Drosophila melanogaster: one gene and its partners. Changing the gene in region 1 together with any one later gene gives a genetic interaction. Each region holds a gene or a part of one and is shown in the gene's direction. Other genes may lie near its edges. The genes, in order: Ras85D, Dsor1 and Taf4.

What was found.
Region 2: of Ras85D (region 1) and Dsor1, changing one suppresses a phenotype caused by changing the other (phenotypic suppression), as found in Drosophila melanogaster (4 studies listed by BioGRID).
Region 3: of Ras85D (region 1) and Taf4, changing one suppresses a phenotype caused by changing the other (phenotypic suppression), as found in Drosophila melanogaster (3 studies listed by BioGRID).

Annotation. Positions count from the first base shown.
Region 1 is NT_033777.3:9,510,997-9,514,748, reverse strand, and holds the start of Ras85D (Ras oncogene at 85D), read left to right. Parts: upstream 1-1,681; 5' UTR 1,682-1,961; intron 1,962-2,296; 5' UTR 2,297-2,457; coding exon 2,458-2,596; intron 2,597-2,752; coding exon 2,753-3,009; intron 3,010-3,067; coding exon 3,068-3,241; 3' UTR 3,242-3,752. Other genes in the region: Rlb1, read right to left, coding at 1-1,302, 1,360-1,386. UniProt on the Drosophila melanogaster protein: Ras proteins bind GDP/GTP and possess intrinsic GTPase activity. Plays a role in eye development by regulating cell growth, survival of postmitotic ommatidial cells and differentiation of photoreceptor cells.
Region 2 is NC_004354.4:9,245,307-9,249,058, forward strand, and holds the start of Dsor1 (downstream of raf1), read left to right. Parts: upstream 1-2,035; 5' UTR 2,036-2,492; coding exon 2,493-2,602; intron 2,603-3,235; coding exon 3,236-3,752. Other genes in the region: Larp7 (La related protein 7), read left to right, coding at 1-417; amx (almondex), read right to left, coding at 901-1,755. UniProt on the Drosophila melanogaster protein: Required downstream of Raf in the sevenless (sev), torso (tor), and Drosophila EGF receptor homolog (DER) signal transduction pathways.
Region 3 is NT_037436.4:16,111,401-16,115,152, forward strand, and holds the start of Taf4 (TBP-associated factor 4), read left to right. Parts: upstream 1-1,811; 5' UTR 1,812-1,965; intron 1,966-2,389; exon of another isoform or gene 2,390-2,484; 5' UTR 2,485-2,741; intron 2,742-2,907; exon of another isoform or gene 2,908-2,911; 5' UTR 2,912-3,071; coding exon 3,072-3,443; intron 3,444-3,752. Other genes in the region: Zn72D (Zinc-finger protein at 72D), read right to left, coding at 1-469. UniProt on the Drosophila melanogaster protein: TFIID is a multimeric protein complex that plays a central role in mediating promoter responses to various activators and repressors.

The DNA of each region.
Region 1 (3,752 bases):
TTTGGCCACCCAAGACGGGTGCATGCCATCGGTGGGCAAAGGAGCAGCAGTAGCGGTTAATTGATTGATACTTGGAGCAATAATTTCCGCCGCCTGGCCGTCGTCGCCGAATGTAATCTTCTTGCCTCTAAAATCACCAATGATTGGTTTCTGCTGTTGCTTAGCCAGCCAGGAGGGATGACGATCATCAGTTGGCTTTCTCGCTTTGAACTCTGGCTGTCTTTCCGGTTTCTCCCGATATGTGTTCGACCGTCGATCCTCATTGCGGAACCTTTTGACTGGCGGCGGTGCCTGTTCCTCATCAGCTTCGCTGTCATTGTCCCCGGAAAGAACCACGGCGCTGGACAAGTAGGGCTGGCCTGATTCCGTAATGAAGAAGGGATCAACGACATGTGTGGGACGATTATTGTCAAGTTGTGGTTCTTCTTCATCGATACTTGGCTGCCTTTCTAATCGTGGCTTAGGCTTCTGCTCTCTGGCTGGTTTTTTCTCGAAGGGTTTTGGCTTAGATTCTTTCGGTCTGCCTTCTAGTTGTGGCTCTGCATTATTCTCCTTGATTGTATTTAAATTCTGCTTTTTGGAACTGAGCTTAGTTATCTCCGGGTTGATCTGCTCATCAAAAGCTTGTTTTTTCTGAAGGTTTCTTTCTTTTTTGGCTGGTGTTTTAGGTGTCTTTTCCTTTTTGACTTTGAGAACTGGAGAATTTTCAGTTTTTGCAAAAGACTGTGGTATTTCCTGATCATTTACTTTGCTGACTTGAAGAGTGGGCGTTTCCGCAGTTGCTCCATTAACATCTGCATCCACCACTTTGTTCTGCTCTAACCACTCCAGTCGGTTTTTGGTTTGGGCCTTCTGCTCCTTCAGCTCCTTGCGCTTCCTCTTCCGCTCCTCAGTGCGTTCTATTTTGGCCCTTCGCTTGCTCGTCTCTAGGATCTCCTCACGCCACTTGGCCTCCTTATCGGTGGTGCTCAGCTTCAAGGTTTCCACAAACTTGTCCACCAGTCCGTGCATCAATTTGTTTAGCCGCAGCATGGCAATGCCCAGTTCATCCGGCGTGGAGCGCTCGTTAGCAATCACCGCATTGGGATTTGTGCCCTCCTGCAGGAGCGACTGGCGTACCATATCCATATATTTTAGAGCCTTCAACTGGGCCAGGCATTCTGTGTTCTTGCGTAAACGAATCTTTTCCTTTTCACTGTCTGGATTTTTGGCCAGAGCCTCTTTTGTCTTTCGCAGCTTTTGTACGATTTTGGCGATGGTCTGGGCGCGTGCCTTTTGAATGACCTTCTTGTTGGATATCACCTGTAAAAGTTCTTTTTAATTAAAACTCTATAATTTTAAATAAAATCGTTTATTTACCAAATTATTGAATTTCAATCTGTCCATGCTGTTTTCGTTACAGTGGTGGTTGAAATAATAGACTCAGGCTTGAGTCCGTGCTAAGAAACGGTGATGCCAGCCCGTTGAACTTAAATTAACAATTATTAAAAGCAGAAAGCGTCTGCCAGTTTTTACAGAAAGCTGTATTGATCAAATCATTTATTAGTTTAAGCAAATTATAGAGAGTCGACTGAAGTGCATCCACCTCTTTAGATTAGTTTTCATATAGCAATCGCTATTGCAAGTCCATCGATGGTGCCGGCCAGAATGCAGCCATCGCTATCGATAGTGCCATCGGCTTGGTGCCAGCTCTAGTATCTTCACAGCTACGTACAGCCTAGATTTCATCTTCATTTCACATACGGATTTATTGTTTTCCTGCGCTGTTAATTGCAATTACCGCACGGCAATTAAATTGGTGCCATCGAGGAGTACCGCCTGTCGCACCGTTAGCCGCGAAAGTGACGTGAAACGTGCCCAGCAACTGCGCCGCGCGCGAGAAGAGAGAGGCAGAGTATTGATAGAGAGGAGCGGAGCGGAAAAACAAGGAGGAGCTAGCTGAAGAGGCAGCAACAAAGAAGGTCCGCAGCCCCGGCAGGCAAAAGAAAAATAATAAAGAAAAGGGCTAAAAACAACGCCGCCGAATTAGCAAATTCACCTAGTTAACAACTCGGCTATGGGGGAGACTAACTAATTTGCATTGAGCGAATGGGTTTTAATTTTAGTTTGAGTCATTGATCTCTTTTTCCCATTTTTTTTTGTGTTGCCCGTCTGGCTGTGTGCATGCAGTGGTGCGTGTGTGTTTGTGCGAGTAAGCGCCTAGTCACAGTGACTCAGTGACGTGCATTAATTCCTGCCTAATTATGCGTTTAATTTATTTTAATCAATCTTAATTAATAATTTACTCCACTTGCAGCCCATACACGCACAGTCACCCACACAAACACACGCAACAAGCGTACGGAGAGAGAGACTGCATCTGCGGGCGCTTCACAAGAGAGTAAGCATCGATCGCGAGAAAGAGACTGTTACTGTGACATTTGACTACGGCAAATCGAAAACGGACGCCACAGCCAAATGACGGAATACAAACTGGTCGTCGTTGGAGCCGGAGGCGTGGGCAAGTCCGCGCTCACCATCCAGCTAATCCAGAACCATTTCGTGGACGAGTACGACCCCACAATCGAGGACTCTTACCGAAAGCAAGTGGTTATCGGTGAGTTATATGTACTTAGATCTGGCAAAGCTAGGGCTGCACAGGTCCAAATACTCTAGAGATTTCTGCACCCTTTCGCTGGTTTGGTTTCCCGTTTATACTAGAAGAGACCTTAAGAAGTTGCGATATTCAAATGCATTTTATATTCCCCTGCAGATGGAGAGACCTGCCTGCTGGACATCCTGGACACCGCCGGCCAAGAGGAGTACTCGGCCATGCGGGATCAGTATATGCGGACTGGCGAGGGATTCCTGCTGGTCTTTGCCGTCAACAGTGCGAAGTCCTTCGAGGATATCGGCACCTACCGTGAGCAGATCAAGCGCGTAAAGGATGCCGAAGAGGTGCCCATGGTGCTGGTGGGCAACAAATGTGATCTGGCCTCGTGGAACGTTAACAACGAGCAGGCAAGAGAGGTGAGTACCGGCCTTCAGAGTTCCGAGCGAACATTCCGTTAATTATGGTTGTTCTCAGGTGGCCAAACAGTACGGCATTCCATACATTGAGACATCCGCCAAGACGCGCATGGGCGTGGACGATGCATTTTACACACTGGTGCGCGAAATCCGCAAGGACAAGGACAACAAGGGGCGGAGGGGCCGCAAAATGAACAAGCCGAATCGTAGATTTAAATGTAAAATGCTCTAAACGGCCACGCATTGGTTATTATTCACTTTTTATTTCTTCAAATGTCGCCTGTTTGTCTGTATGTGCGTCGGCGAATCGCCGATCGTCCTGGGCTCGATGGTTTGTCCATTTTGGACACACAATGCGAAAAACACACACATGTGGGAGCGTGTTGGTCGGTGCAATTGTCAGATAAAAGAAGAGAAATTGTAATTAATTTAAGTAACTAGAGTTTTATGTACGTCGAAATGATTTTGTGAATGTGTGTGTTTTGTGTCGTTTGAAAGGCTGCGAGGCGCCCTTTTAAGAGTATTAACAATAACAAGCAAACAAAAACGAACGAAGCAAATCGAAAATGAAAATGAATATGTACCTCTACATAAAAACTATGAATACTGTTGTAACTGCCTTGGTTCAGCTGCTATATCCGTTTGTTTTCAACCAGCACTTAACTTGATTCTATGTTGTTTGTACTTCAACAGATACTCCGTGCTTAAAACCGAAACGCGATGTAAACAAATATTGTGTATTT
Region 2 (3,752 bases), on another chromosome or scaffold:
CCTTCGCAGGAACGCACGCCGCTCTTTAAATACGAGCCCGGGCTGATTGTGGAGTGCTCCCTGCTAAAACCATGCACCAATGTTAAAGAATTTAAGGCTGAAATGCGCCAATATCCGGATATTAAATATGTGGATATTAAGGAGGGCGACCAAGTGGCCCTACTACGTTTGGGCACGCCTGCCGCAGCCGAGGAACTGCTACGCCAGGTCAACTGCTCCGAGAGGCAGCTGAAAGTGCTCTCTGGCCAGCAGGAGACGCTCTATTGGCGAAAAATCGAGCAGGATCGCGAGGCGAAACTCTCGAAAAAGGTGCGCGTGCAGCAAAAACGCGGTCGCGAGAAAGTGGGCAAAATGCTGGGCAAGCACATTAAGTTTGATGATGGCGATGATGAAGTGCAGGCGGCCGCCATGGACTGAGTCACTTTCAGTTGAGGGGTGAGTTTGGATTTCATTTCAGGAAACTCTATAATATAAGCTATATAAATTTATAAATGTAAGCAAAAGATACATTTAGATCTAGCACAAGATTTCGTAATATTAGAGTAATATTGTAAAAACAAATTGAATTTTTAAAAAAGAAACTTCCTAGTGAAATTGAAATAAATCTTCTGAATGAAACAAACCATTTATTTTTACAAATTTGTCTGATCTTACAGGAACGAGAAAGAGATGGTTATATTTTCTCTTTCACTTATTTATTGATACGATCAAAGAATTGTGCTAGATAAAAGATACAAAAAAGAACTTTTGGCATTATTAATAAAATACATTTCCTAATTAATTATGTACACGTTTTTGAGAAGATCTTGCTATTCCTAATGGTTGCATATTTGCATTCGTTATTATGTACACTGTAATGGAAAAGTTAGCTTATGACCTATTAACCCCTGTAAAACTAAACTATATGTAAAGTGAGCCATCCGCTGGCCCCAAATAATGCATCGAGATGAGCAGGACATCGATGATGGTCCAGACGCCGAGGCCGCCAAAGCTGAACAGCTTTCCAATCCCTTCCTGCCAGTGGCCCAAGTAGAATCGATCGGCTCCAAAGCCCCCTAGCGTGAGGCTAATCAGCAGGGCTGTGCTCCACCGATAGCCCTGCGTCCAGTTGCATCGCAGGTTGCGGGTAAAGGATCGATTGCCGAGGCAGAGCACATCATGGTGCACGGTGCAGTTGGTACGGAATAGCTTATCCGTCGCCGAGTTGCAACTGGAGCGCTGGCCACAGCTCTGTTGCCACATTTCCGTTTGGTAGCAGTATCGGCAATTCATTTGTCGCTGGAAACTCCGTTCGCCCAGGCACTGGACATTGTTGATCACCTCGCAGGTTACATTCAAGTCCCGGCCGTAGATGCATCCATGATTGTAGTTGCAACGGATGCAGGGAAACTGCAGGCGATCACAGGGCGTTTCCTTATCGTACGGGCATAGCATGTTGTTGTTCCCATTGCTGCTACTGCTACTGCTGCTGCTGCTGTAGGCGGTTATGTTGTCCAGGAGTCCACCGGCACCTCCTCCACTCTTGGCCACCATGCTGGACACCAGGGGCGGCACATACACCTCGTTATCGTTGGCATTTCCATTGCCATTGCTCGCATTGCTGTTATCCTTGTGATCGCCTTTTGAGTCCGATAAGTCCATCTGGTTGCCACCGCTGGCCGTTTCGCTGTTCCTGATCCCCGTCAGCACGAAGATCATGATCAGGACAATGGCCGATCGCATGTTGACCACAATGCACTGTCGTTGGAGCCTCATTTTGGTCAGATAGAGCGGGGAATACGCCGGAAATGTTATTGTTTTTCCCTTTAAGAAAATGAGTGGGGTGGGAGAGTGTGACCGTATACGCGTGGCATGAAAATATCAACCGCGAATGCTCAGGAGAAATTTCTTTAAAAAGCGTATCGAATAGTTTATAGATATGTTTTGGCTCAATTAAATTGGCTAAACAGATAAGTATACCTCTCCCCTCATCGTAACAAATTAGTAATATCTAATCCTAATATCCTTTCCATTTAAGTTGTGACCATTGGCCGCTTTAGTCGTAGGAGTGTATTAACGGTATTTGGTAATCGCGACATCTGGCCATACCGCACCGTCTGCGAAAAAAACCCAAAAGTCGCCGATTTTGGCTGATTATTGCAAAAATAATATTAACTATCCGTTTGCTGTTCGTGTGCTCGGTTCGGGTGTGTTAAAGTTAAGCGCAACGCGAGGAATTGGTGCAAATTTACCAGCGGCTGGACACACAAAACGAAACATTCGCACTTGGCCTCCCTTCGCACGCCCCCTCGCCGACGCCCCTCGCCCCTCACACCCTTCAGCCGTTCGTCGGACGCCGCTGTTCGTAGTGCGTTTTGTTGTTGTTTCCACTGGAACACTCTCTATTTGTATTGTTTCATTTATTAGTTTTTTTTTGTTGTTGTTATTGTTGTGTGCTTTAACTTATCGGTAACGGATAACGGTATCGAGAGATATATATTATATATAGTAAGATGTCGAAGAACAAGCTGAATCTGGTGCTGCCGCCGGTAAATACGGAGGCAACTGTTGCCGCCGCCACAGTGGCGCCGACGCCGCCATTCAAAACCCCCTCGGGCACAGAGTAAATATTATACATAATATCCTTAATAACTGACTGGTTTTTAGGCCACCCATTCCAATAACACCGCATCCCCCCTCCCTCGCTGTTTCCCCTTCCACTCCTCGTTTTCGGTTTCCTACTCAGTGGTAAGATAATCCTGTAGTTTTGCGAGTTAGGTGGGTAATTAATATCCATCAATTGATCCAAGGAAATCCCATCCAGCTGGAAAGAAAGAGACAGTCGGAGTGAAAGAGCAGGTACTCTCTCTTTGTTTGTTGGTGTGGGTGGTGCTCCTTTCGTGTGACGCACAGGTACACAGCGAGAAAAAACTTACTGAGTAAATACAGTAAACTGTTTTAGTGCTTTTTGGATTAATTAACGGGATGACAAAGTCAGTTTCGAAGATAAATAGAAATTATAATTTAATAGTCCTACCTTTATCGTATATTTTTTTGTGAGCACCAAAATGTAGGCAACATAACATAACACAATACATATGTAATTTGATGTGTATGTTTGTGTAGTTTTCTTATTATTAGGAGAAACTTCGGCCCGCCCCTCATCCCATCCCCCACTTTCAAATCCCATCCATTGCTTGCACTTTTTACATTTTCGTTTTGGATCGCAAAAATTCATTAAGAGGTTAAATTAAAGCACACACAGTTTGCTGGGGAAGCCCAAGACGAGCATCGATGCGCTGACAGAGACGCTGGAGGGTCTGGACATGGGCGACACGGAACGCAAGCGGATCAAGATGTTCCTCAGCCAGAAGGAGAAGATCGGCGAGCTGTCCGACGAGGATCTGGAGAAGCTGGGCGAGCTCGGATCGGGCAATGGCGGCGTGGTGATGAAGGTCCGGCACACGCACACACACCTGATCATGGCCAGGAAACTGATCCATCTGGAGGTGAAGCCGGCGATCAAGAAACAGATCCTGCGCGAACTGAAAGTCCTGCACGAATGTAATTTCCCGCACATTGTCGGTTTCTACGGCGCCTTCTACAGCGACGGCGAGATCAGTATCTGCATGGAGTATATGGACGGTGGATCACTTGACCTGATCCTCAAGCGGGCCGGTCGAATACCAGAGTCCATTCTCGGCAGGATCACGCTGGCGGTGCTCAAGGGCTTGAGCTATCTGCGCGACAATCACGCCATCATCCACCGTGAC
Region 3 (3,752 bases), on another chromosome or scaffold:
CCACATACATGCTTGCCGCATTGTAGAGTGCTGTATCATAGCCACTGTAATTGTTGCCCGCCGGAGGAGCCGAACTAGGGGGCTTGGGACCACCGTTCGACTTGTCCATCTTGCCCTTGACCTGATTCTTGACTGGCGGAGCCGAGTAGTGCGTCTTGCTGACCGAGGCTGTCGAACCGGAGGCGTTGTAGCTGGCCGGCGACTGCTGATAGAATGTCTTGGTGGCGTCGTATTGCATGGCACTTCGATAGTCGCCGTAGCCACCATAACCCCCCGCCCCAGGGCCAGAGGTGGCGCCAGCGCCCGCTCCTGCTGCTCCGCCATAACCACCCTGTCCGGCGGCCACAGCGGCATTCTGATAGGCGGCCGCATTCGCGTAGGTGGCATTGGTTACCGCCGGGTACGAGACTTGGCCCGTATTGTACTGGGTGCCGCCGTAGTTAAACCCGGCGTAGTTGTTGTTGGCCATTGTCGCGGTGCGCTGCAATTACGAAAATCGAATTTGTTTGACAATCTGTCTGCGGTTTACTAGTTTACCATTGGCATTTGCATTTGCATTTTGGACCTGCCCCCATCCCCACCAAGTGCTCTACTTACATTAGCTGTCCTATCCGACTGACTGTCAATATTTATGGGACTTCGAATGCGGATTTATTCGGGAATTTATATGTGCTTTCCGAGTAATAGCCTGTTTATAGCTGTAAAAGCAAAGTGGTCTTAGTCACGTCATGTTGAGAAAGGAGCTCCCCCCACCACTTTCCCATCCGTTTTTCATCTGCTTTTCTCTATCGATTTTTACCCCGCAGCTTTGGACGCACTTTTCGCGTGTCTGGCCCACATGCGAGTGAGCACACGTGGCGATCTCTTTTCCAACGGCATTTTAGCCCTAGTTGTGCATGGTTAAAAAACAGTTAATGCAAATGGCAATTACCTGAAATCGGTTAAATAAAATTTTTCTTCCGTCTCTATGGGCCGGTACTAGTGTGACCGCAGCGTAATCGGATAATCATACTATGTTGAGCCCGACTTGAAACAAATACCACTTTTTATTTTTGGAAGTTTTTGGAAAATATACCATTACACTATATATGTTGCTTATTTAACGGAATTTGTTTAATATTAAAATTGGTATGGTCTATTTTATTAAGACCGCTATTTGTACGATATGTATTTAACTCGCTCTACAGAATTATTTTGCCCGTTGTGCTGAAGTTTAGCATTTCAAAGATACCGAAAACTAACAAAAATACCATCACGTTGGTGGTGGGGCATGTAGTTCGGTATCAAAGTGGAACTATCGATTGTTTGACCGTTACAAAGTACTACTCCTTCGTTTGAATATATATATGATTTAAGTATATGAGCAAATAGCGTTTAAATATAAAAAAATAATAACATTTTTGAGCATTTTCTTCAATTCTGTAATTACCTAACATTCAGCTTTAAACAGTACTCTAATAATAGTTTTAGTAGTTTCTAATTTTTGAGCGTATTCTTCATTTATTCAATTACCTAACATTCAGCTTTAAACAGTACTCTAATAATAGTTCAAAGGATTTAAAATGTATCGTATTCGAATGTATTAAAATAAATTATTTTGATCCTTAAAAATTGTGGCTTATTACCCATATAAAAACTAATGAGCATATAATTAATTTGGTATGCGGCTAAAATCCGATGGCATCAAAATGCCAGCAAACGTTTTTGGTTTTGAAAATGTACGCAACAAGGCTATAAAAAATCGACATGATATCCAAGTCACTACTTCTTTTCTAGTATTTTAATTCGGTATCGCGTTTAACACGACGATATTGTCGCCAACGGTCACACTGCACAACTCGTCCGTACCTCGGCGGTCCGTAAACAATATTTACTCGGTTTTCGGCTAAATCGCCAGAGAAACGCAACGGGAAATCGTTTAAAATGCGCCCCAGTGCACCGAGTTTGAACGCAAAATGAATTGAAGTGAGTGCATCTGCCACAGGGCCCAGAAAATTTCCCCCGACATTGCAGGCTGTACAAAACCTATACTGAAACACACGCACACAGTCGCACAGACACGGACGTGGGTTTATGCCACCACCCGCTGGCCACTAAAGTAGAAATTACTAATACTACGGCTGGCACGATGCTCCATATTGCCACTGGAGACATGTACAAGATGCATTTGTTTTCTTTTTGTTTTAAATATTTTTATGCGGATTTTCGAAAAATATGAATTTTTCCTAATAGAAATCATCAATTATTAAGTGCTCCACTTTCGAGTTGAACTTTTTTTTAAATTTAGTGCATTCACGAATATTGCGCACTCGCCACCCGCATAAACGAGCGGCATTGCCAGATCGTTGGTTACGTGTTTTTCGCACGCTATCTGGCAACGTCCACCAGCCTCGATTTTCGCTTTGCACGCGCATTCGTGAAAATGGCGGCGTTCTGGCACCGTCGCTGCCAAATTTTTTGTACATCAAAATAATCAAAATAAAGCATTCTTCCAGTGCTCAACAATCAGTCCGTGCGAGCACGCGCGAGTGTGTGTGTGCGCAGGAAAACCCGCCGATCGGGAAAAGTGTAGAAAGGCTTAGCGGCGCAAACAAAAGGCAGCGAATTAGCGAGATAACACACACGCGACAACGACTGCAACGGATGCGCCAGGAGAAAGGCCGACGACAGTGACGGCAAAGGCGAGTGCGAGTGAGCCAGCGCAGCACCAATTCAGCGGAGCACCCGCTTTTTTGGCCAAGGTGAATGCGATTACCTGTGCGCGGCATCCAGGTGTACGCAGCATCTGGTTTATGGCGCACGGCCGCCAGGTAGCCGGCGGTCAGGTAGCACCTCCACCGCCTACCTGTTTCTCCACCGCCTCGAGCCGAATCTTGTATAAATACTAAAAGCGCCTCCCCTTGCATTGCAGTTCGCTTCTGGAGCGCACAGCATGCAACAACTCCGCCAACACCAACACAGGATGTGCGCAACTAGTTGATCGGAACAGGATCGCTCGCCCACACCAACACACAGAAGTCAGTGGAATAGGAGAAACACACTCGCCAATAACATAAACACCACACAGCACGATGAACACCAGCCAGACAGCTGCCGGCAATCGCATCACCTTCACCAGCCAGCCGCTGCCCAATGGCACCATCAGCATAGCCGGCAATCCCGGCGCGGTCATCTCCACGGCCCAGCTACCGAATACCACCACCATCAAGACGATCCAGGCGGGGATCGGTGGTCAGCATCAGGGACTTCAGCAGGTGCATCATGTCCAACAGCAGCAGCAGTCGCAACAGCAACAACAGCAGCAACAGCAGACGCAATCCGTAGGTGCCACCCAAACACAAACCCTAGTTATTAAATCCAACCACCATGCTGTCACCCTGCCGGCGGGTCTAGTCTCAAGTGCACCAGCAGGAATCGTAACCATGACCAAGACCATCAATCAGGTATCCATATTAAAGCTAAACCCACTCTTCGGGCGCTAGGCGATCGCAACTCGGGCGTATCACTTCGTCCAAATCTGATCCCCAATCAAAACCCCCTCAATTCCTCGCTCGAATCGGATAGTAGTGGCCGCACACACTTTGGTTGTATACTTTTATTATGCTTTCATCTGTCTACCTCGCTGCCCGAAATTCCCATATCCTTATCCAAATGGGGTTAGTCCCAGGCTTGATAACGTATTTTACGCTTAAAAAATATCCTTAATTCATTAATGTGAAATCTGAAACTTATATCTGAGTTGAAATCTGAAA